Linked DNA regions of Anolis sagrei. The protein of the gene in region 1 purifies or fractionates together with the protein of each later gene. This does not show direct contact. Links are inferred from orthologs where the notes say so. Each region holds a gene or a part of one and is shown on either strand. Other genes may lie near its edges. The genes, in order: CDKN1B, SPDYA, CDK6 and CCNE2.

Region 1 (7,998 bases):
TAAATATGATCCAACAATGTGATGCGGCGGCAAAAAAAAGCCAATGGGATTTTGGTCTGCATCAATAGGAGTATAGTGTCTAGGTCCAGGGAGGTCATGATACCCAGCACTAGACCCAGAGTCTGCTTTGCAATCCAACTATGTTAAGCCAATCAATAAGATCTTGGCACTATAAGACTTCTACCAACATGGATAGAGAGACCTCACCATCACAAGAAAAAACACCTGCCTCCCAAAAGACCTCATACCACAGTTTATACCCCTCATGAAGAGCTGGGTTGCATTCCTGTCCTTAAACAGTATTCAGAGGACTCCTTAATTGTGAGGATCTGGGAACCTCTGGGAGGGCATAAAGAATAGGGGTGGATATTATGGGGAGGCGGGTGTGGGTGGGGGATGGTAACTAGACCTCTATAGGTCCTATAATAATTTTATTCGGTCGGCACCTTAATCACTCTGACTTGGACACCACCTCAGCCCTGTTGACTTGTAAATGCCTTTTTACTTTTAATGTTTTGAGTGGTTGCTATCATTAGATCTAGTAGTAAACATGTTCTAAATGTTTGATTTATATATTTAAATGTCTAAGTTTGTTATTTTTGAGTTGTTCTATAAGTACACCTGATGTTATTTATTTTATTGTTTATGATTTGATTTGTTTGTTATGTTATGCCGGCATTGAATGTTTGCCAATTTTCTGTTGTAAACCACCCTGAGTCCCCTCGGGGAGATAGGGTGGTACAGAAATAAAGTTTATTATTATTATTACCCCTTTATTCTGCCTTGGTTAGAACACACCTGGAATATTGTGTCCAATTCTGGGCACCACAACTGAAGAGAGATATTGACAAGCTGGAATGTGTCCAGACAGGCCTGTAGCCAGGATTTTGATTGGGGGGGGGGGGCTGAGTTTGGTTCACGGGGGCTGAGTCTGGGTGGGGGCTGAGTCTGAGGGGGGCTGAGTCTGGGGGGGGGGGCTGAGTCTGGGGGGGGCTGAGTCTGGGGGAGGCTGAGTCTGAGGGGGGCTGAGTCTGAGGGGGGCTGAGTCTGGGGGAGGCTGAGTCTGGGGGAGGCTGAGTCTGGGGGGGCTGAGTCTGGGGGGGGGCTGAGTCTGAGGGGGGCTGAGTCTGGGTGGGGGCTGAGTCTGAGGGGGGCTGAGTCTGGGGGAGGCTGAGTCTGTGGGAGGCTGAGTCTGGGGGAGGCTGAGTCTGGGGGAGGCTGAGTCTGAGGGGGGCTGAGTCTGGGGGGGCTGAGTCTGGGGGGGCAGAGTCTGGGGGGCTGAGTCTGAGGGGGGCTGAGTCTGGGGGGGCTGAGTCTGAGGGGGGCTGAGTCTGGGGGGGCTGAGTCTGAGGGGGGCTGAGTCTGAGGGGGGCTGAGTCTGAGGGGGGGCAGAGTCTGGGGGGGTCTACCCTGGCAAACCTTCTCTATCGTTACCCCAATACCCTCATGCATATGGGATATATTGAGCATGGTGATCAGATCATGATATGAATAAACATAACAGCTTAAAGAATGTACTAGTAAGGCCTTTTCGCAGACCACCATGAGAATTTGGGGGGGGGGGGGCTTCAGCCCCCCAAGCCTCCCCTGGCTACATACCTGTGTCCAGAGGAGGGTGACTAAAATGATCAAGGGTCTGGGGAACAAGCCCTATAAGGAGCAGCTTAAAGAGCTGGGCATGTTTAGCCTGAAGAAAAGGCTGAGAGGAGACATGACAGCCATGTATAAATACGTGAGAGGAAGCCACAGGGAGGAGGGAGCAAGCTTATTTTCTGCTGCCCTGGAGACTAGGACACAGAACAATGGCTTCAAACTACAAGAAAGGAGATTCCACCTGAACATTAGTCAGAACTTCCTGACTGTAAGAGCTGTTCAGCAGTGGAACTCTCTGCCCCAGTGTGTGGTGGAGGCTCAATCTTTGGAAGCTTTTAATCAGAGGCTGGATGGCCATCTCTCGGGGGTGCTTTGAATGCAATTTTCTTGCTTTTTGACAGGGGGTTGGACTGAGGTCTCTTCCAAGTCTAGGATTCTAGGATCAGATCCTCTCAAGATGCCAGCCACAGATGCTCCTAGAACACCGCCCTCCAGCCCGGAAAACACAAACACACACACACACACACCAGTGATTCTGGCCGTGAAAGCTTTCGACAACCCAAGTGGGATCCAAAGAGCAGAGACCTGCTTCCTCTGCTACCTGCCAGTTGTTGTTTGAAGGAGAAGGAAGGGCTTTGGTAACCCTGGAGCAGAAAAGGCCCGGATGTGCTCGGGGAGCAGGAGAGAATGGAGGCTGGGCGCTTACCGTCCGAGACGGGCCGCTTCCTCGAACTGGGCGGGCCTTGGCCCTCCTCCGCTCGTGCTGCCTCGGGGACCCCGTCCTCCTCCTCCTCCTCTTCTTCCTCCTCCTCCTGGTTGTGCGCAGAGAGTCCCTTGCAGTGGTGCCTGCGGGGCGGGCTGGCTGCGGGGCGTCGGGCGAGCCGCGGCGGTCGGCTGTAGAAGTCGGGCAGGGCGTCCTTGCGCAGGGCGCGCCACTCGAAGCGCGGCTCGGGCCCTCGGAGGGGCTGCTCGCGGAGGAAGTCAAACTCCCACCGGGCTTGGGCGGCCTCCTCGGCCTGGCGGCGGTGCCGTCGCAGCTCGCGGGCCAGCTCGGCGTGGTCCACGGGGCCGAAGAGGCTCCGGCAGGCCGAGGGCTTGGGCGCCCCCTCCGCCTGCCGCGCCTCCATCCGCTCCAGCGTCGGGCTCCCGCTCGAGACGCGCACCGTCGACATCGCCGCGGAGCCGGGGCGCTCCCTGCGCCGCGCCGCGCATAAGCCGAGCCTCCCCCCGCCCCGGGCAGAAGAAGGAAGACCAACGCGGGGAAGCCCAAAGGCTCCTGCCCCGCCGCGCCCGATGTCAACGCTCCTCCGAAGGAGAAAAACAAGGCGGGGAAGCCGCGAGGGGCGGGCGCAGGACGAGCCTCTTTCCCCCCCAGTGGCCCAATATGGCGATGGAAGGGAGGCTGGCCCGGGAGGCGATGATTGACACAAGGGCCCTCGCTTTAAAGGGAGGCGCCGCCCCATTGGTGCAAACACAGGCGTGACGTCACCCGACCTGGCCTCCCTCTCCCCCTCCCAGTCTGTTTGTGCCCAATCGTGTTTGTCAAGCTATGAACCCACAACAGCACAACCGAGTGCAGCTCTCTAGTCAGGTTTTTGCAGGGGAAAAAGCAACAATGTATTGTCGAAGGCTTTCAAGGCTGGAATCACTAGGTTCTTGTAGTTTTTTTCGGGCTATAGAGCCATGTTCTAGAGGCATTTCTCCTGACGTTTCGCCTGCATCTATGGCAAGCATCCTCAGAGGTAGTGAGGTCTGTTGGAAATAGGAAAATGGGTTTATATATCTGTGGAATGACCAGGGTGGGGCAAAGAGCTCTCTGCTGAAGCTAGGTGTTCAAGGGAACCACTGACCCCATAGGGAAGCTGATGAGGAAACATAACATACAAACAATCTACAAACCCACCAAGAAAATCCAACAAATGCTTCGTTCAGCAAAGGACAAGAGGGATCCTCTCACTTCTGCAGGAGTCTACCGGATACCATGCAGCTGTGGACAAGTCTACATAGGGACCACCAAACGCAGCGCCCAGACACGCATCAAGGAACATGAAAGGCTCTGCAGACTACTTCAACCAGAGAAGTCAGCCATAGCAGAGCACCTGATGAACCAGCCTGGACACAGCATATTATTTGAGAACATAGAAATGCTGGATCACTCCAACAACCATCATGTCAGACTACACAGAGAAGCCATTGAAATCCACAAGCATGTGGACAATTTCAACAGAAAGGAGGAGACCATGAAAATGAACAAAATCTGGCTACCAGTATTAAAAAAACTCTAAAATTACAACAGCAAAACAACAGAGAGGAAACAACCAGGCACATCTTAACACCTCTCAACAGAACATTTTCCCAGGCTCAGCCAGGCCTTCAAATGCTAATGAAGGTGGTCAGCTGAAACATTCACACCTAGCTTCAGCAGAGAGCTCTTTGCCCCACCCCAGTCGTTCCACAGATATATAAACCCCTTTTCCTAGTTCCAACAGACCTCACTACCTCTGAGGATGCTTGCCATAGATGCAGGCGAAACGTCAGGAGAAATGCCTCTAGAACATGGCCCTATAGCCTGAAAAAATCTACAAGAAAAGCAACAACCCTTCTGTTCCATTCAGCCAAACAATGAGGAGACAATGTGTTGTCCATTCAAGCATTCGTCGCCGGAATCACTGTGAATCTTTCGGGTTGTATGGTCATGTTCCAACAGCAGCATTATCTTCTGACCTTTCGCCTGCATCTATGGCAGGAATCATAGAATCCTAGAGTTAGAAGAGATCTCATGGGCCATCCAGTCCAACCCCCTGGCAAGAAGCAGGAAAATTGCGTTCAAAGCACCCACACACACACACACAGATAGCCACCCAGCCTCTGTTTAAAAGCTTCCAAAGAAGGAGCCTCCACCACACTCTGGGGCAGAGAGTTCCACTGCTGAACAGCTCTCACAGGAAGTTCTTCCTCATGTTCATATGGAATCGCCTTTCTTGTAGTGTGAAAGCATTCAGGCATGTAGCCGGGGGGGGGGGGCTCGGGGGGCTTCAGCCCCCCCCCCCCAAATTTTAATGGTGGTTCGCGAAAAGGCCTTATTGGTGCATTATTTAAACTGTTATGTTTATTCATATCATGATCTGATCACCATACTCAATATATCCCATATGCATGGGGGTATTGGGGTAATGATACAAAAGGTTTGCTAGGGTAGACCCTCTTTCACTCAGACTCAACCCCCCCCCCCCAAAACTCAGCCCCCCCCCCCCCCCGAAACGAAATCCTAGCTACGGGCCTGAAGGCATTTATTTATTTACTTACTTACTTACTTGTTCATTCGTTCAGTTGTCTCCGACTCTTCGTGACCTCATGAACCAGCCCACGCCAGAGCTCCCTGTCGGCAGTCACCACCCCCAGCTCCTTCAAGGTCAGTCCAGTCACTTCAAGGATGCCATCCATCCATCTTGCCCTTGGTCGGCCCCTCTTCCTTTTGCCTTCCATTTTCCCCGGCATAATTGTCTTCTCTAGGCTTTGCTGTCTCCTCATGATGTGGCCAAAGTACTTCAGCTTTGTCTCTAGTATCCTTCCCTCCAATGAGCAGCCGGGCTTTATTTCCTGGAGGATGGACTGGTTGGATCTTCTCGCAGTCCAAGGCACTCTCAGTGCTGGAGTCATCAGTCACCTGCAGAATTCTGGGAAATGTAGTGGGCCTTTGGAATTCTCAGATACAGAAGTGCCTTCTCAAACTACATTTCCCAGAACTCTGCATGCGGCAGAAGATGCCAGAAATGTGGGGCTGCCTGCTTTAAGCACTTGTCTGATAAAGCCCTTAGTCGGAACACTTTCTGAAGGGAAGATATGCCACATTGGCAGCATCCACATTTTAAAGAAACCCACGCAGACTTTAAAAATCAGCTCAGCCTTCTTTTCTAAGCACTCACGAGCTGTTCACCAATCAGTTCTTGAAACTTTTCTATTACTACCCTATGTAACACTAATTTTGTTCCTGGGTTATAAATGTAGTTTCCTAATTGGTTCCAGCATAATTCAAGTTCAAGTTGTGGCAGGTTGTGGCACAGCTGGTCAGGAGTCAGCTGCATTAAAATCACTACTGACCATGAGTCATGAGTTCGAAGCCAGCCTGGGTCGGAGTGAGCTTCTGGCCATTTGCCTAGCTTGCTGTCGACCTTTGCAGCCCAAAAGACAGTTGTATCTGTCAAGTAGGAAATGTAGGCGAGGCTAATTTAACTAATTTATGAAGCCATAAAACTCTCCAGCAGCGTGCAAAGAATGAGGAAGTACTCCATCGGTGTCACAAGTGGATGGTGAAGCAACAGCTCCCCCAGTGGCCAGAATTAAAAAAGCATACCCTCATGAAGCTGGAAAGTTAAATAGCCTCTGTGTCTCTATATATGTGTGTCTATGGCATTGAATGTTTGCCATGTATGTGTGCATTGTGATCCACCCTGAGTCCCCTGCAGGGTGAGAAGGGCAGAATATAAATGCTGTAAATAAATAAATAATATTAAATAAGTTCACTTTATTGGTCAATGACCAGCTCATTGGTTCTTAGCCTATAAACATGGAAAAAGACAGCCTGCAGCACCCTTTGCTGTAGTTTTCCCTTTAATATCTCAAGTCTCAACCAATTCAACATAGTTTGTGGCAGCCACAAAAATGAAGTTTCTTGAATATAGCAACTACTTTCAAAGTAAGTGCCACACAATTAAACAGGAAATAATACTTTCAAACCAGGAAAAGATTTGAAGCAGTGTCTCTGCGTAGGTAACACAAAGCATCTTTCTTAGAATCATAGTCCAAAGCATCTCTCTGTTCTGAGAGTCTAATAGAGTCTCTGTAGTCTATTTCAACTAACTTCTAAAAGCATAGATCTGTTTCCACTGAAGTCTAAACTGAACTGTTTCTAAAATGGAGTCTGAGTCCTGAAGAAGCCCAGACCTGATCACATGGTCTACAGTCCCATCCACAACAAAGTATCAAAAGAAAACTGCAAACCAATACACACATTTACAATACAGTAAGCAATTATATACATAACAAACAACTAGTGGAGCCTTGAGAAGGTTGTGAAATCCAACAGTTCTGAATCTGCGTGGTCTTTCACAGTGAGGACATACATTTCCAGATAGAAGGTGGTCCCGACAAGGGTTTGCTTGACATGACTTCTTTTTCTTTCCCCAATGTTGTTTAACATCTACATGAAGCCGCTGGGGGAGATCATTCGGAGTTTCGGAATGAGGTGTTGTCTCTATGCAGATGATGTCCAAATCTGTCACTCCTTCTCACCTGTCACCAAGGCAGCTGTCCAAACCTTGAACCAGTGCTTGGCAGCTGTGTCGGACTGGATGAGAGCTAACAAATTGAAACTGAATCCAGACAAGACAGAGGTCCTACTGGTCAGTCGTAAGGCCGAACAGGGCATAGGGTTACAGCCTGTGTTAGACGGGGTTACACTTCCCCTGAAGACGCAGGTTCGCAGCTTGGGAGTGATCCTGGACTCATCGCTGAGCCTAGAACCCCAGGTCTCCGCAGTGGCCGGGAGAGCTTTTGCACAATTAAAACTTGTGCGCCAGTTGCGCCCGTACCTTGCGAAGTCTGATCTGGCCACAGTGGTCCACGCTCTCATTACATCCTAAATAGATTACTGCAACGCACTCTACGTGGGGTTGCCTTGGAAGACCGTTCGGAAACTTCAATTAGTCCAGCGAACGGCAACTAGATTACTCACCGGAGCATCATACAGAGAGCATACAACCCCTCTGTTGTCAGCTCCACTGGCTGCCGATCCAGTTCTGAGCACAATTCAAAGTGCTGGTTTTGACCTACAAAACCCTGGGTTCTGGCCCAGCGTATCTGTTCGAATGCATCTCCTTCTACGTCCCACCTCGGAGTTTAAGATCTTCTGGGAAGGCCCTGCTCTCGGCCCCACCTCTATCACAAGTGAGATTGGTGGGGATGAGGAGCAGGGCCTTCTCGGTGGTGGCCCCTCACCTGTGGAACTCACTCCCCGGGGAAATTAGGTCATCGACATCCCTCCTCTCCTTTAAAAGGAAATTAAAAACATGGATTTGGGACCAGGCCTTCGGGTAATCTGGTGGATAGATAAGGCACAAGCAATGACTAGAATTGATGAATTGGACAATGTGGAATTTGAATTTACGGACTCTGAGCTGATAAACGTTAAGCACTAGATTGTTTTTAGGAATTGTGATGTATAATGGATTGTTTTAATTGTTTTAATTACTGTTTATATGTTTTATTTTTTACCTTGTTGTTGTGCCGGCATCGAATTGTGCCTTTTTGTAAGCCGCCCTGAGTCCCTCCTCAGGGGTTGAGAAGGGCGGGGTAGAAGTGCGAGAAATAAATAAATAAATAAATTCGCCTATTTCTCCCTTTTGC
Region 2 (7,409 bases), on another chromosome or scaffold:
CAACTTGGATCAAAACTTTGGCTTAAATTCAACACATAGCATGTGACATTAGTTCTGGACAAAGTAGACTTAAAGAATCATGTTCTGTCTAATTTTAGCTAACAATCAGATTTAGGACATTATAATCTGTAAACCTGAAAAAAAGATCCTGTACTAATAATTTCTTCAATGCATCAGAGATGTTTTTAACTGCCTCTCTCAAGGAATAAAACTTTGTCACTTATGTTGTAATCAGAGTACTTACAGAGCCACAAAGAAATTGAGCCTGGTATGTTCATTTATACTGTAGCCGGCTCTCTTGAAATAAACAAAAGTCATTGCCAATAGGTACTGTTGAGAAAGATAAAATATTTATGCCCCCATTTTCAATTACTTTTTTTAGGATAACAAAACACCTCTTAATCAATTGGTGACATTAACACAAAAAGCACATAACTAATTTATATTAATTTAATTTGGTATAGATAATCAGACCTTAAAGGTGGCAACTATGGCTCTTCAGATGCTTTTGACTTACAGCATGTATTAGGCACAGCCAACATATGGGTGAAACCTAAAAACATCTGCAGGCCCATAATTATGTAGTATGTTGACATGGTCTCTTGTCATTAAACTGTTAAAATAAAATATCTAGAGATTTGAATGGCTTATTTGCAGTAAGGTGTAACAGGTCATTGCTTGGCAGGAAGATTTGTAAACTCTTTGAACCATAACAAGGGCCCAAGCTAAAATGTTAAAAAGAAATGTAAATACACAAAAAGGGAGCCACCCCTCCCTCAACTCTATAACATCAGAAACATAGAAGCTATACAAACTGAAATCCATTGAAAACCAAATGGAATAACAATATTTTAATTTCTACAACTAAAACCGTCTTAACATTTTGATTGTTAATCTTTTTAATTGTTTTGGAAACCACATTGGGTCTCACTCTGGAAGAAAGATGACATAGAAATGGAGAAGATAATAATAATAATAATAATAATAATAATAATAATAATAATAATCAGCTAATTTAGGACAAATTCTATACCTAAAGAGGCAAAACTAGTTTGGACCAAAATCCAACCATGTTCTTTTAAATCCAATGTCAGCATAACCAGGGTTTTCTTCATCTTCCCCTACAGTATTTCATGGCACCAAAAAACTTCCAGAGCTAGCTGTTAAAGTACATGAGCCTTGTCATGTTTTTTGAATGCCTGGGCAGGAAAATGGCAATGGCAGTTCTTTGGACACTTCCCCCCAAAAAAGACTACTGAGAAAGTGGAGAGAGGGGACAATGCTCCTTTTAGGTTCTCCCAGGGAGGACTAAGCTGTTGCATTTCACCACTGTTCTCAAAGAAGGGGGTGGTTCCTTTTATATATATATATAAAGAGGTAATACTATACTTTAACTTTTTTCAAAATGGTTTTCACCGTCTCCTAGAATGGCAAAAGGCCTTTTTGAATGTCTGGGTAGGGAAATGGTGGTGGTGGCAGAACCCTAAGCTGACCCTGGTGTTTTCTCACCTCTATGGAATGACTTCCCTTACCCACAAATAATAGCAAAATCCATAATTTGGACCTCAGAACCTACTCTTGCCTTATATATGAAGTTGCTTTATATACAAGTATGTTTAATAGGGTTTTTTTTTTACACCAGGATGCTGTTTCATGTTTGCAAAGTTCAGATCCCATAAGCCTGAACTTTGCCCATTCCAGTTGAAAATCACGCTATAGCATGTGTGTGATGAGGAACTCACATATGCACACACACAGCTGTGAAGTTTGTATCCAAAAAGTACTAAATCCATCTGAACAAATTTTACAGGAATTATAAAAAAAACATGCTGCGGATACGCATTCTTTTGCTATAAAATGCAATTTTTCAAGCCCTGTACCAAAACAATTTGATCTATTTTGATAGTTTTTATCTCTGTGTAATATTCTACTCCTAAACAACCATGTGGTTCCACCTATAAACTCATTTTTCAAATCTGGGAGGATTTCGTACCTTTTGGAAACAACCTCCACAACTAGGCCTGTAATAAAAACAGAAAATCTTTATTTTCTCCCACCTTACAGTTGGAAAGAATTTCATGATAACAACCAGCTTTACCTTGTCTGCAATTTTACAACAACAATCCATCCACAAGAAATCTTGAATTAAATCATCATCTGTAAAATAAAGCAACTATGACATACCAACTATAATCTCTGATAAATCTCAGGAAACATGAGTTTTAAAAATATCTCTAAAAGAAATCAAATTGCATTTAAAATGACAACTGGTTTGGTGCAGAGAAAGTAGCATATCTGTCTGGAAAAAAAGAATTGCTTCATAATAGCTGAAGAAGATTAGGTATAAAGGAAAGAAAAATGGCCAAGTGGAAATATCTATTCATGGGTTATTTATTTTCCTTTCCATTGCTTCACTTCCAGGCAAATCAAAACAACATTTTCCATGAACTCAGAAGTAACTTACAAAACATTTTGCTAGAAGGAATATTCTAACCAGGTTAACAAACAGAAAGAAGTTATATCCCATGAATACTGGATTTTATGTCAGTACCTCATAAAAACCAATATGCTGTAATGAACACAAACTTGGAATGAATGTAGATATTAAAGCTTCAATGCATGCACTTTAGCTGACAGAATAATCTTAGGTTAGTCTTGTCGATCTTTCAAAATACCACTTTCAGTGTTGAGAAGTGCTATTGAAATGCAACAGTGATATAATGCAGATACATATATACCTATACTTTTATGAAATGCATTCTAAAAACCTACCAAATAATTTAAAGAAAGCTGTCATTTCTTGGCGCTGAATAACTAGACAGGAACCTTTTGGCTTGTTATTATTAATGTTTTTCCCACAGGTCTCTTGGCTGTCTTTAAATTTAGGACGTTTAAGGCAAAGGGGGTTTTTTTGCTTGTAGGTTCGGGCTGCACTTGATTTTGCATGCACAGTGATAGTGGAAGGTGTCTGGCAGCAGCTCTGGTTATGTTTCATTTTTCTAAATGATGTTGTCTATTAAGGCAAAAAAAAAATAGGTTAGCCAAATGGAGGGTGAAAAAGGCACAATTCCATCTTAAGGAGATGTAACTATATATCCCCATCCATTAGTGATACTTTTATATACCTTTTTATATACTTTTATATACTGAACAATTTTCATATTGTGTCTGACAATATGACATAGCTGACTTTAACACAATGTTTGCAACTTCAATGCTTCTGATTCAGAAAGGTTTATTTTTGTAGGCATTCATTTTCATAATCTGTTGGCATCCAAAAATAAACTTACATACCTATTAGTAGTAGTGTAGTAGCAGTAGTACCCCACTTTTTATCTCTAAAAAAGAGACTGGGCAGGAGTGGGCAACATTTTTTTTCTGTGAATTACTTGTAGAATCTCAAGATCATTGTTACAGTCTATTGTGTCTTCCTGCTGCTACTATTATCATCAAAACTGTGCTGCCTAAATCCATACCATCTCAGCTTCCAGAAATCACACCACTAGTTTCTTCTGATCTTCACTGTAAAAATCAGGAAGCAACTGTATCACAAAGACTCTTTAAAGTGCCTTTTCTCTTTCCATCAATAAAACCAAATCTTTTGTTTGGTTGCTTGTGCATATTGTCACTTCTTATCTGAATCTTGTCCTTTCGCTGTCCTTCACAGAGCCCTCTGAAATGTTCTGCTCCATCACTGTCAATACTGTCAGTGCATTTGCCACCTTATTCTAGCAACAACTTGAGCAGCAGTAGCAGCAAGGTCATTACTTTAACTTAATATAAACCTTCAAGATCTTCTGTATTGCATTAAGCACCGGGATTGTGGCGCAGCTGGCTGAGTGTCAGCTGCATTAAGATCACTCTGACGAAAAGGTCATGAGTTTGAACCAGCCCGGGTTGGAGTGGGTTTCCAACCCATTGTGTAGGCTGTTGTCGACCTTTGCAACCCAAAAGACAGTTGCATCTGTCAAGTAGGAAAATTAGGTACCATCTTAAAGTGTGGGGAGACTAAATTAACTAATTTATGATGCCATAAAAAAAGACTCCAGCAAAGCACTCCAGCAAAAAAGCATGCGGGGAATGCGGAAGTACTTCATCAGTGTCGCGGATGGATGATGAAAAGCGACAGCTTCCCTGGCGGCCAGAAAAAGTTAAATAGCCTCTGTGTATTGTCTGTATATGTTGTATGTCAAAATTGGCATTGAATGTTTGCCATATATGTGTACACTGTAAGTCCCCTGTAGGGTGAGAAGGGCGGAATATAAATACTGTAAATAAATAAATAAATAAATAAATAGGAGCAAGGTCATTACTTTAACTTAATATAAACCTTCAAGATCTTCTGTACTGCATTAAGCATTTGAATCCAAAACTTTGTAGCTTTTTCACTTGTCCACCACATGTGATAACATCTCCCAGCTTGTTCATACTTCTGCCATACTTTTGAAATATGTTTACACATTCTAGTCTTTTTTTTCTGGAATCATAGACTGTTGGTGCATCATTTTATAAAAACTGTCTTTGACATCATAACATAAATGTTAGCCCATTTGACCACCTTGCCCCATTGTTTCATCGGTATGATCCAGCGTAAATTCTGAGCCAATTTTGTTATACCACCTTTAATTTGTTCCTCTTCCATATCAATTTATAACACCATTTTGCATCATAGAATAAATTAAAAGCAAGATTTGACTTTGTATTGTCGAAGGTTTTCATGGCTGGAATCACAGGGTTGTTGTGGGTTTTCCGAGCTATATGGCCATGTTCTAGAAGCATTTTCTCCTGACATTTCGCCTGTGTCTATGGCAAGCATCCTCAGAGGATGCTTGCCTACCTCTGAGAATGCTTGCCATAGATGCAGGCGAAACGTCAGGAGAAAATGCCTCTAGAACATGGCCATATAGCCTGGAAAACCTACAACAACCCAAGATTTGACTTTCATTATTGCTATTTTACCTCTTCCAGGACACAGATCTTTTTCACACCATAAAATTGTAACACTCTTACAATTGATTGCATCCTTCTGGGGATCGGGTCGGGTGGATATTTCCTTTCACTTAATGTTTATATTCTCTTTAGTTATTTATTAACCATATTTATATACCACCTCTCACAGCCTGAAGGCGACTTGAGGCGGTTTGCAATCGGCAATCAATGCCATCTCCAGCAAATGCCATTATTCTTACCTGGAAAGTAAAATACTAAAGAAAAAAATAATCCAGAATAACCTAGAAACATTTGAGATCAAAACTGGATGGAGTATATGAGTCTGCACCAGGCATGGATGGGAAAACTTGGCCCCTCTGGGTGTTTTGGACTTCAACTCCCATCATTCCTAACAGCCTCAGGCCCCTTCCTTTTCCCCCTCAGCTGCTTAAGCTGAGGGGGAAAAGGAAAGGGCCTGAGGCTGTTAGGAATGATGGGAGTTGAAGTCCAAAACACCCAGAGGGGCCAAATTTCCCCATGCTTGTTTTATACACAAGCTGCAAGAAGGAGGATAATAAATTATTATTGTTGTTGCTATTTAAATAGTGCTGTATAGGAAGCCAAGTTTGTGTACACTGAACTATCAGAAAGCAAGGTTGTCCCTATCTCTAAGCCATTCATCCATTTCCGATTTCGGAATTGTGGATAAGGAATGATCAACTTAATAGTGCCATTCTCGTAATTAATTCGCCTCGAAAAGTCTCTGTGTGGTCCGCTCCCATCAAGAAAGTCAGTGAGCCAAAATTAACACTTTTTTGTCTGCCAGGAATGCTCAGTGTCAATATTTACCTCACGCCTATGAACCCTAATGGCAAACAAGATGGAGATTTCTGATCCACCAATCAGAAACCTCAACTGGGCATGTTCTCTCCTCCTGGCAACCTCATCTAAGGCAAAAAGCAAACCTACCATTATTTTACGGCCAATCAGGATGCTCTCTTGACAAGTCCCAGCCAATCAAAATTCAAGCGCCTCTTCAGTCTCTTTCTCTGGAAGAAGGCCTTGACACTGTAGTGGGCCAAAGGAAGCCTCTCAACCAATCAGAGAAGAGGGAGCGTTGTTGCTAACTGACTTGTGGCCTTTGGCTTTATGCTCACTTTGTGAGGAAAGCAGCTGAAGAACTCAGAAAGTTACATTTTTTGAAGATCTAAATTAGTAACTTCTTCCAAAAATAGCATAGTTAACACCCAGAAGGCACACAGAACCATTCCTATGGCTTCTATATAAATAAAAAATGTAATGTTCGTTTGTGGGATTGACATAACTCAAAAACCACTGGATGAATTGCTGCCAAATTTGGCCACAAGACACCTACTAACTCAAGGAATGACCATCACTCAAAACAATTTGATTTTGTCATTTGGGAGTTGTAGTTGCTGGGATTTATAGTTCACCTACAATCCAAGAGCATTCTGAACTCTACCAGTGATTGAATTGAACCAAACATGGCACACAGGACTCCCATGACCAACAGAAAACGCCAGAAGGGTTTGGTGGGCATTGATCTTGAGTTGGGGAGTTGTAGTTCACCTACATCCAGAGAGCACAGTGGATTCAAACAATGATTTCTGGACCAAATTTGGCACAACTATTCCAAATATGAACATAGATGGAGTTTGGGAGAAATAGACCTTGACATTTGGGAGTTGTAGTTGCTGGGATTTATAGTTCACCTACAATCAAAGAGCATTCCGAACTGTACCAGTGATGGAATTGAACCAAACATGGCACACAGGACTCCCATGACCAACAGAAAATGCCAGAAGGGTTTGGTGGGCATTGATCTTGAGTTTGGGAGTTGTAGTTTACCTACATCCAGAGAGCACAGTGGACTCAAACAATGATGAATCTGGACCAAACTTGGCACGGATGTTTCATATGCCCAAATATGAACACAGATGGAGTTTGGGAGAAATAGATCTTGACGTTTGGGAGTTGTAGTTGCTGGGATTTATAGTTCACCTACAATCAAAGAGCATTCCGAACTCTACCAATGATGGAATTGAACCAAACATGGCACACAGGACTCCCATGACCAACAGAAAAGACTCGAAGGGATTGGTGGGCATTGATCTTGAGTTTGGGAGTTGTAGTTTACCTACATCCAGAGAGCACAGTGGACTCAAACAATGATGAATCTGGACCAAACTTAGCACGGATGTTTCATATGCCCAAATATGAACACAGATGGAGTTTGGGAGAAATAGATCTTGACGTTTGGGAGTTGTAGTTGCTGGGATTTATAGTTCACCTACAATCAAAGAGCATTCTGAACCCCACCGATGACAGAATTGGGCCACAATTCCTACACGGAACCCCCATGACCAACAGAAAATACTCCAGTCCAACTCCCTTCACCAGGGTAAAAAAATATAATCAAAGCCCTCCTGACAAAGAGCCAGCCAGCCATAGATATAGAT
Region 3 (7,464 bases), on another chromosome or scaffold:
AAGCAGTTAAATAATTTTTGACCAAAAACGGGCAACAGCGACTGCATTGTCTGTAGCTTTAAACAATTCTTCCTCTGCGAATGAGGCAGGGCATTGTGGGCAAGCATACAGATGCTGAGTTGTTTATTCTGCCCCACAGTCTAACAAGGTGGAGGATTGGTAGTGCCATTTTGCCAGGTTGTCTTTTGATCTGCCTACTCTGCTTCCAATTCTGTTGAAGGACTTCCAAGTACCCCATTCTTGGTTTGCCCAAATACCCTCATGGGGGGGGGGGGGTCATCCATTTGGGATTTCCTGGTTTAGCTGCCCAGAGGGGATATCTTATCAATCAATAAATAAATTGACATGTAAATTTATAGCAAAGATGGAATAGAGAATAAAAATATTCTGTTTTGACTAATCAATGGCCATCAATTTTAGCATCTATAACTAGTATGGCTATAGACCTCCAATAATGTTTTATACAGCAAAATTGGTCTTTTGTGCAGTTAGAATCTCTTTTCAAAAATCAGAAAACTATTTTAATTGTAATAATGCTTCCTTAATGCATATGTTTTGAAGTTGGCCAATAGTTGCTACATTTTGGGAGAACGTGATCATTAAAGTACATTTAGTTTTGAAAAGTTTTTTGATATTCATTGCTTTTATACTCTTTTTTATAATTTACCTATTCCTTTGAAAATAACAAATAGCCTGTGGAAATAGGTATTGTGTGTCCCTTTGACTGCTAAAAAATGAATATGTTGCTACTGGAAGGTTTTTTCCTTTTCCAATGTGATTTGATAGATAGCAGCTCTAAAAACACTTGCAAAATTTGAAATAATGTTGTACAGACAAAAATTACAATATAACTTATGTATGGACATTTGATCAGTTTTAAAGAAACTTGTGGCTAATGCGGCTAATTTTCCTCCTTATCTGTTTTTATTTTCCTGCTTTTGTTACATTGGAACATTATTGTATGTAAGTGAAATTCCTTTTTGAATATAAATAACATTTACTTTTAAAAAAATAGGATGGGTTAATATATACTAAATCCTCAAGGCATATGTTATCTTCATCCAAGGGAAGGTTGACTGACGTTAATGGAGTTAGAGGTATATTGCCACAGAGATGAAAGATGAAGCTATAGTCACAGGAATGCAGATGGAATGGTTTACATGTGGAAAACACACCTTCCTGTGCTCACAATGAACCTCTTTTTGTTTGGCAGGTTGGCCAAAAGATTCTTAACTGCTATTATTAAACAGGATTTAAGTCATGGGGACTTCCGAGAGCACTGCTGCCTGCCCTTTGCATTCTGATTTCACTTACAAGTACATTAGTAGAACAGTTTACAGTGGGGTCACTGTACATGTTTACATTTATGATTATTTACTAGCCGTCCCCTACCAGGCGTTGCTGTGGCCCAGTCTGGTGATCTGGAAAATAAAGTAATGAGAAAGTATTGGTTTCTAATATATATAATTTCTTTATGCTTGTGTGTAAACAGTATTTCTTGTCGTTTCTTTGTCAGTGTTGATGTAGAGATAGTCTGATTTGCCTACTTTGGAACATGCAAAATATAATTGTCCTTCTTTAGGGGTCCCTTTCAAATCTATGATACTATATCTGTCATATACATATGTGTGTGTGTGTGAATCATATATATCTATCTATATCTATGGCTGGATGGCTCTTTGTCAGGAGAGCTTTGGTTACGTTTTCTTGCCCTAGTGAAGGGTGTTGGATTGGCTGGCCTTAAGGCAGCATTTCTCAACCTGAGGGTCAAGTGGGGTTCAGAATGCTCTTTGATTGTAGGTGAACTATAAATCCCAGTAACGACAACTCCCAAATATCAAGGTCTATTTAACCCAAACTCCACCAATGTTCACATTTCGGCACATCGAGTCTTCATGCCAAGTTTGGTCCAGATCCATCATTGTTTGAGTCCACAATAAAACACAGAATGCAGAGAACAAAAAGTTACATCAAAAAATAGTTAAGTAGCAAAATAAAACAAATAAAGCAAATTAACACAATATAAAATCAAACAGGATGGGCAGGCCAAATGGACGAGATAAAATGATAAAACCCTGGGTGAGGTAGGAATAGAAAATATGTGAGGAGAGCAACAACAACAACAACACTTTATTTATATTCCGCTCTCTCATTCCAGAACTCAAGGTCAATGCCCACCAAACCCCTTTCTGTTGGTCATTGGAGTTCTGTGTGTCAAGTTTGGTTCAATTCCATCATTGCTGGACTTCAGAATGCTCTTTGATTGTAGGTGAACTGTAAATCCCAGCAACTACAACTCCCAAATGACAAAATCAATGCCCCCGCCCACCCCCACCAGTATTCAAATTTGAGCTTATCGGGTATTGGTGTCCAATTTGGTCCAGTGAATGAAAATACATCCTGCATATCTGATATTTACATGACGATTTACAAGAGTAGCAAAATTACAATTATGAAGTAGCAATGAAAATAATTTTATGGTTGGTGGTCACCTGAACATGAGGAACTGTATTAAGGGGTCGCAGCATTAGGAAGGTTGAGAACCACTTATCTAGACACAATGCTCCTATTGATGCAGGCCAAAATCCCATTGGATTTTTAAGCTGCCCCATGACTTTGTTGCCTCATGTTTAACTTGTTGTCCAGGAGGACTCTAAGATATTTTTCACACCTACTGCTGTTGAGCCAGATGTCCCCCATTCTGTATCTTTGCCTTTTTTTCTGCCGAATTGGTGGAGTATCTTGCATTGGTCCCTGTTTAGGTAAGGTAAAGGTTTTCCCCTGACACTAAGGCCTGTCATATCTGACTCTGGGGGTTGGTGCTCATTTCCATCTCTGAGCTGAAGAGCTGGCGTTGTCCGTAAGCACCTCCAAGGTCATGTGACCAGCATGACTGCATGGAGCATTGTTAACTTTCCACCGGAGTAGTACCTATTGATCTACCTACATGTGCATGTTTTCAAACTGCTAGGTTGGCAGAAGTTGAGGCTAACAGCTGGAGCTCACGCCACTCCCCGGATTCAATCCTGCGACCTGCAAGTTGAACAGCTCAGTGGTTTAACCCACTGTTCCACTGTGGCTCCTTGGTCCTGTTTATATTATAAATTACTGCTCCTTGGTCCGGTGGCACAGTGGGTTAAACTCCTGTGCCAGCAGGACTTAAGACCTACAGGTTGGAGGTTTGAATCTGGGAAGAGTGCGGATGAGATTCATCTATCACCTGGTAAAACATCCAAACATCCAGGGTGTCCCCTGGGCAATGTCCTTGCAGTCAGCCAATTCTCCTGTTGCTAGCTCTAGTCTCTGCCAACCTAGAAGTTCAAAAACATGCAAATGTGAGTAGATAAATAGTTACCGCTCCGGCAGGAAGATAACAGTACTCCATGCAGTCATGCCAGCCACATGACCTTGGAAGTGTCTATGGACAATGCTGGCTCTTTGGCTTAGAAATGGAGTTAAGCACCAACCCCCAGAGTTGAACACGATTGGACTTAATGTCAGGGGAAAACTTTTAGCTTTTACCTACTTTAAATTACTTTTGTTCTTTATATATACTGTATGTCCAAACATCCAAAAAAGAATAATAATAACAAGAAGAGTCCCTCTGGAAAAGGCCGGGGCCAATGGGCTCTCCAGGTGTTTTGGACTCCAACTCCCACCATTCCTCACAGCCTCAGGCCCCTTCCTTTCCCCCTCAGCCTTGTAGTTTCACAAGGTCTTCAGCCTTCTGTGCCAAAGCGTATTAGTTCCCCAACAAACTGCAGCAGCCAGGGTTGCATTGCAGAGAGTGCATCTACAGCAGGCATGGGCCAACTTGGGCCCTCCAGGTGTTTTGGACTCCAACTCCCACCATTCCCCACAGCCTCAGGCCCCTTCCTTTTCCCCCTCAGCCTTGTAGTTTTACAAGGGCTTCAGCTTTCTGTGCCAAAGAGTGTTGGCGCCTCACCAAACTGCAGCTCCCAGGGTTGCATTGCGTAGGGTGCATCTACACCAGCCATGGGCCAACTTGGACCCTCCAGGTGTTTGGGGCTCCAACTCCCACCATTCCTCACAGTCTGAATGGTGGGAGTTGGAGTCCCAAACACCTGGAGGGCCCAAGTTGGCCCGGGCCTGCTCTTGTGTAACAAATGTGGACTTTTGCACACCCTGGGAAACAAGCCCACGAGGCAGCAGCAGCAGTTTCAGAAGCTGTGCTCTCCTCCTTCCTCTTCCTCCTCCCAGCTTGGGGTCTCCCCTCTCCCTCCCCCATAATCACCCCCCCTATCGCCCCCCTCTCTCTCTCCTGCCTCCTTGCCGGCGGTATTTGGGGAGAGGGGAGGGGTGGTCTGCCCCCCCCCCCTTGCCTTTTTTTTTGGCCCATGAAGGATTTCATTGAGTGCGAAGACAGAGAGCAGAGACAGAAAGCAGAAGGAGGCGGCCGCTGCCTTTGTAGTCGGGGAGGAATGCGGAAATGTTGAAGCACTATGTCAAACTTTTTTGAAACGGGGTCAAGTCACATTCAGCCAGCGTGGGAAACCGAGGGGGAGAAGGGGAGAAAGGGAAGAGAGAGAGGAAAAGAGAGAGAGAGAGGGAGAGTGAGTGGAGGCGAGTTTGGAGAGGGGGGAGAGAAAAAGAAAAGAAAACTCTTCTGCTCCCAGACTGAGCCACAGAAAGAGAGAGAGAGAGAGAGGAACGGGAACTTTTTTCACAGGCAGGAAGAGTGTCCGTGGGTAGAGTTTGTGAAGGCTTTGATCAGAGTTATTACAACCCCCCCCCCCTTTTTTTTTTCTCTAAGGGAGGAGGAAGAGGAGGAGGAGGGAGGTTTGCGAGATCCTCTCCTTGCATGAAGAAGAGAAGGAGAAGGAGGAAGAAGGAGAAGGTGCCGTTTTGCTCTTCCCGAGTTTGCCAGGAAGATGCGGGTTGAGGAGGAGGAGGCGCTCCGGTGCTGGCGGCTACCTGTGTGGCCCAGGCCGGGTCTGCGGGGAGCCCCAAACCGGAGCAGCACCATGTGAACCTCCCTCCTCCTCCTCTTCCTCCTCCTCCTCCTCCTCCTCCTCCCCTTGACCCATCTGCGTTGGATGGGCAGCCAGATCTTAGGACTTCCCAGAGAGAGAGAGAGAGAGAGAGGAAGCAAGCTGTCCTTTCCTTCCTTCCATCCATCCTTCCTTCCTTCCTCCCACCCCCTGCTTATTCCTCTTTTAATTGTATAGGAGGGGGGGTCCCTTTTATTGCTCTCTCCAAAGACCCCCGTTTGGCTCTGAAGACCGAGGCACCCCTCCGAGAGGAGCTCCCGCACCAACACCAGCAGAAGCGCACGCCAGGTACTTCCTCGGCCCTGAAGTGCCATGTGCTCATCCAGATTGATAGACTCTTTGGTTTCAATGGGGAGGAGGGCTAGTGAGTGGCCGGGCTTGGCTCCGGGAGGGCTCTATGATCCCCCTTTACACCCACCCTCCCACTAACATTCCTCTCATGATCAAAAGGGGGTCTTCAATGGCGAAGGTTGAGTTTGAGGGGTTTTATTACTCCCTTTTGCGCCCAACCACCCCATTGCCCACCTTCCAGACCTCCCTCTGAGCCCCAGGATCATTGACTAAATAGAGGGTCTTAAATAGTGCGGGTTGGCTTTTGGGGGGCTCTATTTTCTCCCTGTACACCCACCCACCCCACTAACATTCCTCGCATGATGAAAAGGGGGTCTTAAACGGCGAGGGTTGAGTTTGGGGAGCTTTATCCCCCCCCCTTTGCACCCAACCACCCCATTGCCCACCTTTCAGACCTTTCTCTGAACCTCAGGATCTAAGGAGGGTTTTAAATAGTGCAGGCAGACTTTTGGAGGGGCTTTATTATCCCCCTGTACACCCACCCATTCCACTAGCTTCCTCTCATGATCGAAGAGGGGTTTTAAATGGTGAGGGTTGGATTGGGGGGGGGGGTTATTACCCCCCTTTGCATCCAACCACCCCTTTGCCCACCTTTCAGACCTTCCTCAAAGTCTCAGGATCATTGACTAAAGAGAGGAGGGTTTTTAATAGTGGGGGTTGGCTTTTGGGGGGGGGGCTCTATTATCTCTTAACAGTCTTCTCATTACCAAAAGGGGGTCTTAAATGGTGAGGGTTGAGCTTGGAGGGCTTTATTACTGCCTTTTGCACCCAACCACCCCATTGCCCACCTTCCAGACCTCCTTCTGAGCCTCAGGATCATTGACTAAATAGAGGAGAGTCTGAAATAGTGTGGGTTGGCTTTTGGGGGGCTCTGTACACCCACCCACCCCACTAACATTCCTCCCCCCTTACACCCACTCATCCTGCTAACATTCCTCTCCAGATCAAAGGGGGGGGGGGTCTTAAATGGCAAGGGTTGAGTTTGGGAAGCTATATTACCCCCCCCCCCCCCTTTGCATCCAACCACCCCATTGCCTACCTTTCAGACCTTCCTCAAAGTTTCAGGATCATTGACTAAATAGAGGAGGGTTTTTAATAGGGGGGAGGCTTTTGGGGAGCTCTATTATCATGAACACTCCTCTCATTATCAAAAGGGGGGCTTAAATGGCGAAGGTTGAGCTTGGGGGGCTTGATTACCGCCTTTTACATCCAACCACCTCATTGACCACCTTCCAGACCTTCCTCTGAACCTCAGGATCATTGACTCAATAGAGGAGGGTCTGAAATAGTGTGGGTTGGCTTTTGGGGGGCTCTGTTATCCCCCTGTACACCCACCCACCCCACGAGCCTTCCTCTCATGATCAAAAGGGGGTCTTAAGGAGGTCTTTACAACCACTGACCCCACTAGCCTTCTCATGATCAAAAGGAGGTCTTAAATGGCTTTATCGCCCCCTTTTACATCCAACCAACCCTCCTCTATTTAGTCAATAGCCCTGATGCTCAGAGGAAGGTCTGGAAGGGGGCTTTATCACCCCCCCCCCTTTACATCCAAGTACCCATTGCCCACCTCCGAGATCTTCCTCTGAGACTCAGGATCATTGACTAAATAGAGGAGCGTCTTAAATAGTGCAGGTTGGCTTTCAAAGTGCTTTATTATCCCCCTTTGGATCCACCACCCCACTAACATTCTTCTCATGATCAAAAGGGGTCTTAAATGGTGAGGGTTGAGTTTGGGGAGCTTTATTACCCCCTTTTACATCCAAACACCCCATTGCTCACCTTTCAGACCTTCCTCTGAGCCTCAGGATCATTGACTAAATAGAGGAGGGTTTTAAATAGTGCAGGTTGGCTTTTGGGGGGGCTCTATTATTTGCCTTTATACCCTCCCACCCCACTAGCCTTCTTCTCATGGACAAAAGGGGGTCTCAAATGATTAGGGTTGAGTTTGGGAGGCTTTATTACCCCCTTTTACATCCAACACCCCACTGCCTATCTTCCAGATCTTCCTCTGAGCCTTGGGATGATTGACTAAATAGAGGAGGGGTGGTTGGATGCAAAAGTGGGTATTAAAGCCCCCCAAATTTGACCCTCGCCATTTAAG
Region 4 (7,658 bases), on another chromosome or scaffold:
CCCCATAAAGTCCTTCTTATAGGGACCCCAAACTCCATCCAATTTTTGCACTATATTTCTACGCCACCTCATAAAGTCCTTTTTATAGGGGACCCCAAAATCTACCCATCTGTGCAGCTATATTATTGTTTATTATTATTATTATTATTATTATTATTATTATTATTATTATATATGATTTTTGAGGGGAAGAAGAATAAGTTCATTCTCTAAGAAGTCACCCCCAATTAGGGTCTTAAGACCCCCCAATTCTCTCACAGATATAGAGGGATCTCCTGCCCCCCTTAAATCAATTCATGCTCCAAAAAAGAGCCCCAAAAGTGTGCTTATCATGGGGGAGACTAATTGCTTCAACTTTTGGGGAAGACACCCCTTTTTCCCGCCTAGAATCCCTTCTATTTCCCCCCATTGAGCCCCCCAAAGGCGGATGGGTTGGGGGACCCCATTATTTCCCCTTCTTTCCCCCCATTCAATTCATTCTCCCTCCAAAACGAAAAAAGCCGGCAAAGTGGAAGGCGGGCAGCCCGCCTTCTTCCCTCCCTCCTTCCTCCTTCCTCCGAAGAGAAGAAAAAACCCTCCAACTCAACACCTTCACCCCCACTTTGCAGGACACCCCTAAATAGAGACACCCACCCCAAAAGAAGGAATTAAGGGGTACCCCTACTGCCCCAACCCCATAATGGGGAGAGACTGCAAAGGCAGGTCTAGGTCTCCTCTGTGGAGCCGCCCTCCTCCCACTCTGCTCTTGACACGCTCCCCAAATGGCCCCCCAAAGGGCGCCCCCAAAGCCCGCACCTCAGCCTCTTCCTCCTCCTCCTCCGCCGCTTGCCGCCCAACTCAGGACTGTCCTCAGCTGGCGCCGGCGCCAAGAGGCTATATAGCGCGGAAAGTGCGCATGCGCAGGCTCATCCCTCCCGTCAGTTCCCGGGCTGCGGATTTCTCCCGCCCAGAGAGAGACCGCGGGACCCCAAAACGGCTCCACATCACAACAATAAGGGACAAATCATCACAAACGCACCGCAATCTGCCTTTCTCCCCCCAATACACTCCTCGTTCTCCTCTCCGCTGTCACTTTTAGGAATAAAGAGGAGTCTGGGGGGAAAGAAACCCCTTTGAATGACTTTTAAATCCAGTTTTTGAGGGGGAAGTGGGGGGATTTGGTGGTTTTGGAGGGAAGCCTAAGGGGAAAAGGGGGTTTCAAGGCCTCCCCTTCCCTTCCAAACATTTACCTCAATACACCCCAAGAGCCAGGCAGAGAGGAATTGTGAGGAAGGGGACACAAACCCCTTTGCAAATAATGAGTCTCTGGGATTTTGATGGGGGGAAACCTGAGGGAAAGAGGGGGGATCCTTTCCCTTTCATGACCCTCAATTCATTTCAATGTACCTCAATGCGCCCCAATGTACTTCAGTGCTCCCCAGTGTATTCCAAGATGCCCCCATGCACTCCACTGTGTTTCAATGCACCCCAATGTACTTTAATGAGCCTCAATGCATCCCAATGTATTTTAATGAGCCCCAATGCACCCCAATGTACTTTAATGAACCCCAATGTACTTTAATGAACCCCAATGTACTTTAATGAGCCCCAATGCACCCCAATACACTCCAAGGCATCCCAATATACTTTAATGAGCCCCTATACAGCCCAATGCACCCCAATGTACTTTAATAGCCCCAATGCGCCCCAATGCACCCCAATGTACTTTAATGAGCCCCAAGGCACCCCAATGCATTTTAATAAGCCCCAATGCACCCCAATGTACTTTAATGAGCCCCAATGCACTCCAATGCATCCCAATGTACTTTAATGAGCCCCAATGCACCCCAATGTACTTTAATGAGCCCCAAGGCACCCCAATGCATTTTAATGAGCCCCAATGCAGCCCAATGTACTCTAATGAGCCCCAATAAACTCCAATGCATCTCAATGCACTTTAATGAGTCCCAATACAGCCTAATGCACCCCAATGTACTTTAATGAGCCCCAATGCACTCCAATGCACCCCAATGTACTTCAGTGACTGTCAGTGCTCCCCAATGTATTCCAGTATGCTCCAATGTACTTCAGTGTACCTCAATTAACTTCGGTGTACTCAAATATACTTCATTGCACCCCAATGTACTCCAATGCACCCCAACACACTCACATGTACTTCAGTACACCCCAATGTAGCTCAATGGGCCTCAATGTACCCCAATGTACTTCAGTGTCCTTCAGTGCTCCCAAATGTATTCCAGTGTGCTCCAATGTGCTTCAGTGTACGCCAGTGTGCCCCAACACACTCCAGTGTACTTCAATGTAACTCAGTGCACCCCAATGTATCTCAATGAACTTTAATAACACTCTAATGCACCCCAATGCTCGTAATGTACTTCAGTGCACGCAAATGTGCCCCAATACACTCCAATGTACTAAAGTGTACTTTAGTGCATCCCAGTGTACTTAAGTGTACCCCAATGGACCCCAATGCTTCCCAAAGGGCTTAAGTGCATTCCAGTGTACTTCAGGGCACTTCAGTGTATTTCAATGAGCCCCAATATACTTCAGGGCACCCTAATAGACTCTAATGCTTGCAATGTACTTCAGTGTATCCCGATGCGCCCCGATACACTCCAATGTACTTTAGTGCACCCCAGTGTACTCCAATGCACCCCCAATGCTCCCCAAAGTACTTGAGTGCATTCCAATGTATCTCAGGGCACTCCAATGAGCCCCAGGGTATTTCAATGCACCCCAAAATACCTCAGGGCACCCCAATGTACTTCAGTGTAGCCCCAATACACCCCCAATGTATCTCAGTGAACTTCAATGTACTTCAGTGCACCCCAATGTATTCCAATGCACCCCAATACACTCCAATGCTCCCCAGTGTACTCCAATGCGCCCCAATACACTCCAATGTATTCCATGTTATCTCTGTGCACCCCAATGTACCTGAGTGGACTTCAGTGTCTGTGGAGGAGCCTCCTTCCATGTCCTGGGAAGGCCTCCGCCCAGAGCCCCGCCTCACGCTGGAGCCGCCAAGGGGAAGAGGAGGAGGAGGAGGAAGAGGAGGCCGCCCAGCCCCTTCTTCCGCGCCAAATGCGCCTCAGCCTCAGGCGGGAAGGTTCAGAGGGGCGGTGGTCACTCCGCCTGGCCAATCCTGACCCACAAAAAGGGACAGCCTTCCTTCTTGTGCCACAACTCATATTTAAATGGAAATCCCAACGCTTCGGTTTCGAGTCGTATCAAATTCCAGGCATAGACTGAAAATAAGATTTTTTTAAAGCACAGGCTGGATGGCCAACTGTCGGGAAGGGTTTGATGGTGCCTCGCTGTGTTCAGAATGGATTTAGACTGCATGGCCCTTGGGGGACTAAGAAACCAATATAACTTTGGGGTTCATGAGCAATCATCCTAAAGGACTCTCCGACTCATGAAAAAAGTGCTTCCAGGTCTAAGGAAACGTGTCATTGTGAAACTCCCGCCATAATGCTTTATGCCTCCCTTTGGGGAAGAAATGTGTCCCCTTTGGAATACATTTGTTGTCCTGACTCGCTCACAATCAGCCCCTCTCAAACGTGGGCCCGCTTTCTGCCCCCCATATTGTCAAACACTAATTGTTTCTCTTTCCTAAGCTTATTTCCCCCTCAACAACCCGCTTTTAGACAGCTGGGCTCCAAGCCCCGCCCCTGGGCGGAGCCTCTACCCGCGCTCTAGCCAATGAGGAAGCGGAAAGGCTCGGCAACGTGGAGCTGTCGGCAGAATGTAAACAAGAGGGCGCTTGAAGGCTGACAGCAGAGAGAGAGAGAGAAGCAGGAAGGAAAGGCAACTGGTTTCACTCAGAAGGGTTTAGACCAGAGTTAAGACAGAGGGGGGCAGAAGACAGTTCCATCTTGTCTCCTGTGCTTTACTAATAATTAATATAATATAATATAATATAATATAATATAATATAATAATATTATATTATATTATATTATATTATATTATATTATATTATATTATATTATATTATATTATATTATATTATATTAATAATATATATATATATAAATGCTCTGTGCATAATGAGTACCTTAAAAACAAAAGAACCAATTAACGAAATCACACCAAATTTGGCAAGAAATCGTCTCACAACACAAGGAATGACCATCACAAAACATTATGATTTTGTCATTTGGAAGTTGTAGTTGCTGGTATTTATAGTTCACCTGCAATCAAAGAGCATTCTGAACTCCCCCCGCGATGGAATTGAACCAAACTTGGCACACAGGACTCCCATGACCAACAGAAAACACCAGAAGGGTTTGGTGGGCAGTGTCCTTTGGTTCTGGAGTTGTAGTTCACCTCCATCCAGAGAGCACTGTGGACTCAAACAATGATGGATCTGCACCAAACTTGGCATGAATATTCCATATGCCCAAATAGGAACACAGATGGAGTTTGGGGGAAATAGACCTTGACATTTGGGAGTTGTAGTTACTAGGATTTATAGTTCACCTACAACCAAAGAGCATGCTGAACTCCACCAACAAAAGAACTGGGGCAAACTTCCCATGCAGAACACCCATGCTTAAGGCCATCCAGTCCAACTCCCTTCACCAGGGCAAGAAAACGTAATCAAAGCACTCCTGACAAAGAGCCATCCAGACATAGATATAGATAGATATGATTCACACTCAGAGAGAGATACAGTATCATAGATAGAAAGGGACCCCTAAAGAAGGACAATTATACGTTGCATGTTCCAGAGCAAGCAAACCAGACAGTCTCCACATCAACACTGATAAAGAAACAGCAAGAAATACTGTTTACCCACAAGCAGAAAGAAATTACATATATTAAAAATGAATACTTTCTCATTATTTTCCAGATCACCAGACTGGGCCACAGCAACGCGTGGCAGGGGACGGCTAGTATAATATAAAATATTGTATATACATATAATATTATAATGTAATACAATATAACATCTTGCACTGAATTTAAGTCCTCCATGACGCACTCCATTCGAGCACTTTAGAGCCAATCGACTAAGCTACTGCACTTTAATTACTTATACCATCGTGTATGTTGATACAATTATCTATCTGCACTTTAAGAACTCCTGCACTTTAAGAACTCCTTTGACAGTGTTAATAGCTACTATCCATGTTACTACCCATTCCCTGGCATCTGTTATTCTTGCTGTTAATTGTTTTTGGTAGAGAGAGGGAACGGAGTAGATCAGAAAGACCGGAGTTTAACATAATAGGAATAGGAAATGAACGGAAGGCAGGACTATGGCATCCTGGAACTATAACATACCATACAGCCAACAATGAATTACGAGTGGATACTTTGGCTGCTGAATGCGTCATGGAGGAGGGAGAGGGTTCCGTTAACCAGGGAGCCCCCATAGAAGTCGTGGTGGGGAGGGGGAGATACGGGAAAGGGAGACCTTTAATTCGGCCTAGGGAATGTGGAACAACATTAGTAATCCCAAATCGGTCTCCTGATATGGTAAGTCGGTGTAACCAGGATGGCGGTCCCTCCGAATTGAAAGTGGTGCTGTTGAACGCAGATCTGTCAACGGTAAAACAACTTTCATCCAGGATTTAATCCTGGATGAACGGGCAGATCTGGCGTGCATCACAGAGACCTGGTTTGACGAAGCGGGAGGTGTAAATTTAACCCAGCTTTGCCCGCCAGGTTTCTCTGTGCAGCACCAACCGAGATCCGGAGGGCGGGGAGGCGGAGTTGCAGTGGTCTATAGAGATTCCATTCTTCTGACCAGGGCTCCCATCCCGCAGTCAACAAATTTTGAATGCGTCCACCTGAGGGTGGGTGACCGGGACAGATTAGGGATTCTGTTAGTGTACCGTCCACCTCGCTGAACTACAGTCTCCCTGCCTGAGCTAGCGGGGGTGGTCTCGGACCTGGCATTGGAGTCCCAACGGCTGCTTGTGCTGGGGGACTTCAATGTCCATGCCGAGGCTGCCTTATCGGGAGCGGCTCAGGACTTCATGTCTACCATGGCAACCATGGGGCTGTCCCAACAGGTATCTGGCCCCACCCACAGTGCTGGACATACATTGGACTTGGTTTTCTGCCAGGGATGGGAGGAAGGTGGCGGTGTTGAGGAGTTATCCATCTCTCCGTTGCCATGGACCGACCACCACCTGGTCAGTTTTAGACTCACTGCACCCCCCAACCTCCACAGAGGTGGAGGACCCATTAAACTGGTCCGCCCCAGGAGGCTTATGGATCCGGATGGATTCCTGACGGCTCTTGGGGAATTTCCCGCCACCTCGGTTGGTGATCCTGTTGATGCTCTGGTCGCTCTCAGGAATGGGGAGATGACTAGGGCAATAGACACGATCGCTCCAGAACGTCCCCTCTCAAGTAGCCGAGCTAAACCAGCTCCTTGGTTCACCGAGGAGCTGGCAGCGTTGAAGTGAAAGAAGAGGGAACTAGAGAGCGTGTGGCGTTCGGATCCGAGCGAGCCAAATCGAACACGGTTTGTGTCCTTTTTAAGGGCATATGCCGCGGCAATAAAAGCCGCAAAGAAGACTTTCTTCGCGGCCACTATTGCGTCTGCAAAGAACCGTCCGGCCGAACTGTTCCGAGTTGTCAGAGGCCTATTAAAACCCGCCACTCAGGATGGGTGCCCTGATGACTCGGCAGCTCGCTGTGAAGCCTTTGCTCGGTTCTTCGCAGACAAAGTCGCTTTGATCCGCTCTGGACTGGATACCATATTAACGGCAGTATCTGAGGATGTAACACGAGCATCTGCTTGTCCGGTTTTGATGGATTCATTTCAATTGGTTCAATCCGGGGATGTGGACAAGGTGCTTGGAGGAATGAGAGCTATCACATGCATCCTAGACCCCTGCCCATCCTGGCTTCTGAAGGAGGCCAGAGGGGGATTGGCCGAGTGGGTGAAGGTGGTGGTTAATGCCTCCCTTCAGGAGGGCAAAATTCCAGCCAGCTTAAAGCAAGCTGTGATAAAACCGCTGTTGAAGAAACCATCACTGGACCCCACTCAATTCGTCAACTATCGGCCTGTTTCCAATCTCCCCTTTTTGGGCAAAGTCATGGAACGTGTGGTGGCCTCACAACTCCAGGCATTCTTGGTAGACACGGATTATCTGGATCCGGCACAGTCTGGCTTTAGGCCGGGGCATGGTACCGAGACAGCCTTGGTCGCCTTAGTGGATGATCTGCGTCGGGAGCTCGACAGGGGGAGTGTGTCCCTGTTGGTGCTGCTCGACCTCTCAGCGGCCTTCGATACCGTTGACCACGGTATCCTTCTGGGACGCCTCGCGGGGATGGGTCTTGGAGGTACTGTTCTGCAGTGGCTCCGCTCATTCCTCGAGGGTCGGTCTCAGAAGGTGTTACTGGGAGACTCCTGTTCAATCCCACAACCTTTGTCTTGTGGGGTTCCTCAGGATTCAATACTGTCTCCCATGTTGTTTAACATCTACATGAAGCCGCTGGGCGAGATCATCCGGAGTTTCGGAGTCCGATGTCATCTGTACGCAGATGATGTCCAACTCTGTCACTCCTTCCCACCTGCTACTAAGGAGGCTGTCGAGGTCCTGAACCGGTGCTTGGCCGCTGTGACGGTCTGGATGGGGGCGAACAAATTGAAATTGAATCCAGACAAGACAGAGGTACTCCTGGTTAGTCGC

Evidence for each region.
Region 2: the proteins of CDKN1B (region 1) and SPDYA purify together in Homo sapiens (affinity purification with western blotting; 3 studies listed by BioGRID). This does not show direct contact. The link is inferred for Anolis sagrei from reciprocal best matches to the Homo sapiens genes CDKN1B and SPDYA.
Region 3: the proteins of CDKN1B (region 1) and CDK6 purify together in Homo sapiens (affinity purification with western blotting; 8 studies listed by BioGRID and IntAct, counting the BioPlex papers as one, with this or other methods). This does not show direct contact. The link is inferred for Anolis sagrei from reciprocal best matches to the Homo sapiens genes CDKN1B and CDK6.
Region 4: the proteins of CDKN1B (region 1) and CCNE2 purify together in Homo sapiens (co-immunoprecipitation; 5 studies listed by BioGRID and IntAct, with this or other methods). This does not show direct contact. The link is inferred for Anolis sagrei from reciprocal best matches to the Homo sapiens genes CDKN1B and CCNE2.

The regions. Positions count from the first base shown.
Region 1 is NC_090025.1:101,981,493-101,989,490, reverse strand, and holds the start of CDKN1B (cyclin-dependent kinase inhibitor 1B), read right to left. Parts: upstream 3,008-7,998; 5' UTR 2,766-3,007; coding exon 2,300-2,765; intron 1-2,299. UniProt on the Homo sapiens protein: Important regulator of cell cycle progression. Inhibits the kinase activity of CDK2 bound to cyclin A, but has little inhibitory activity on CDK2 bound to SPDYA. Involved in G1 arrest. Potent inhibitor of cyclin E- and cyclin A-CDK2 complexes.
Region 2 is NC_090021.1:42,727,929-42,735,337, forward strand, and holds the start of SPDYA (speedy protein A), read right to left. Parts: upstream 3,005-7,409; 5' UTR 2,996-3,004; coding exon 2,773-2,995; intron 2,158-2,772; coding exon 2,099-2,157; intron 331-2,098; coding exon 245-330; intron 1-244. UniProt on the Homo sapiens protein: Regulates the G1/S phase transition of the cell cycle by binding and activating CDK1 and CDK2.
Region 3 is NC_090026.1:102,370,921-102,378,384, forward strand, and holds the start of CDK6 (cyclin-dependent kinase 6), read left to right. Parts: upstream 1-4,462; 5' UTR 4,463-5,300; intron 5,301-7,464. UniProt on the Homo sapiens protein: Serine/threonine-protein kinase involved in the control of the cell cycle and differentiation; promotes G1/S transition. Phosphorylates pRB/RB1 and NPM1.
Region 4 is NC_090024.1:33,594,615-33,602,272, reverse strand, and holds the start of CCNE2 (G1/S-specific cyclin-E2), read right to left. Parts: upstream 3,016-7,658; 5' UTR 2,938-3,015; intron 872-2,937; exon of another isoform or gene 793-871; intron 1-792. UniProt on the Homo sapiens protein: Essential for the control of the cell cycle at the late G1 and early S phase.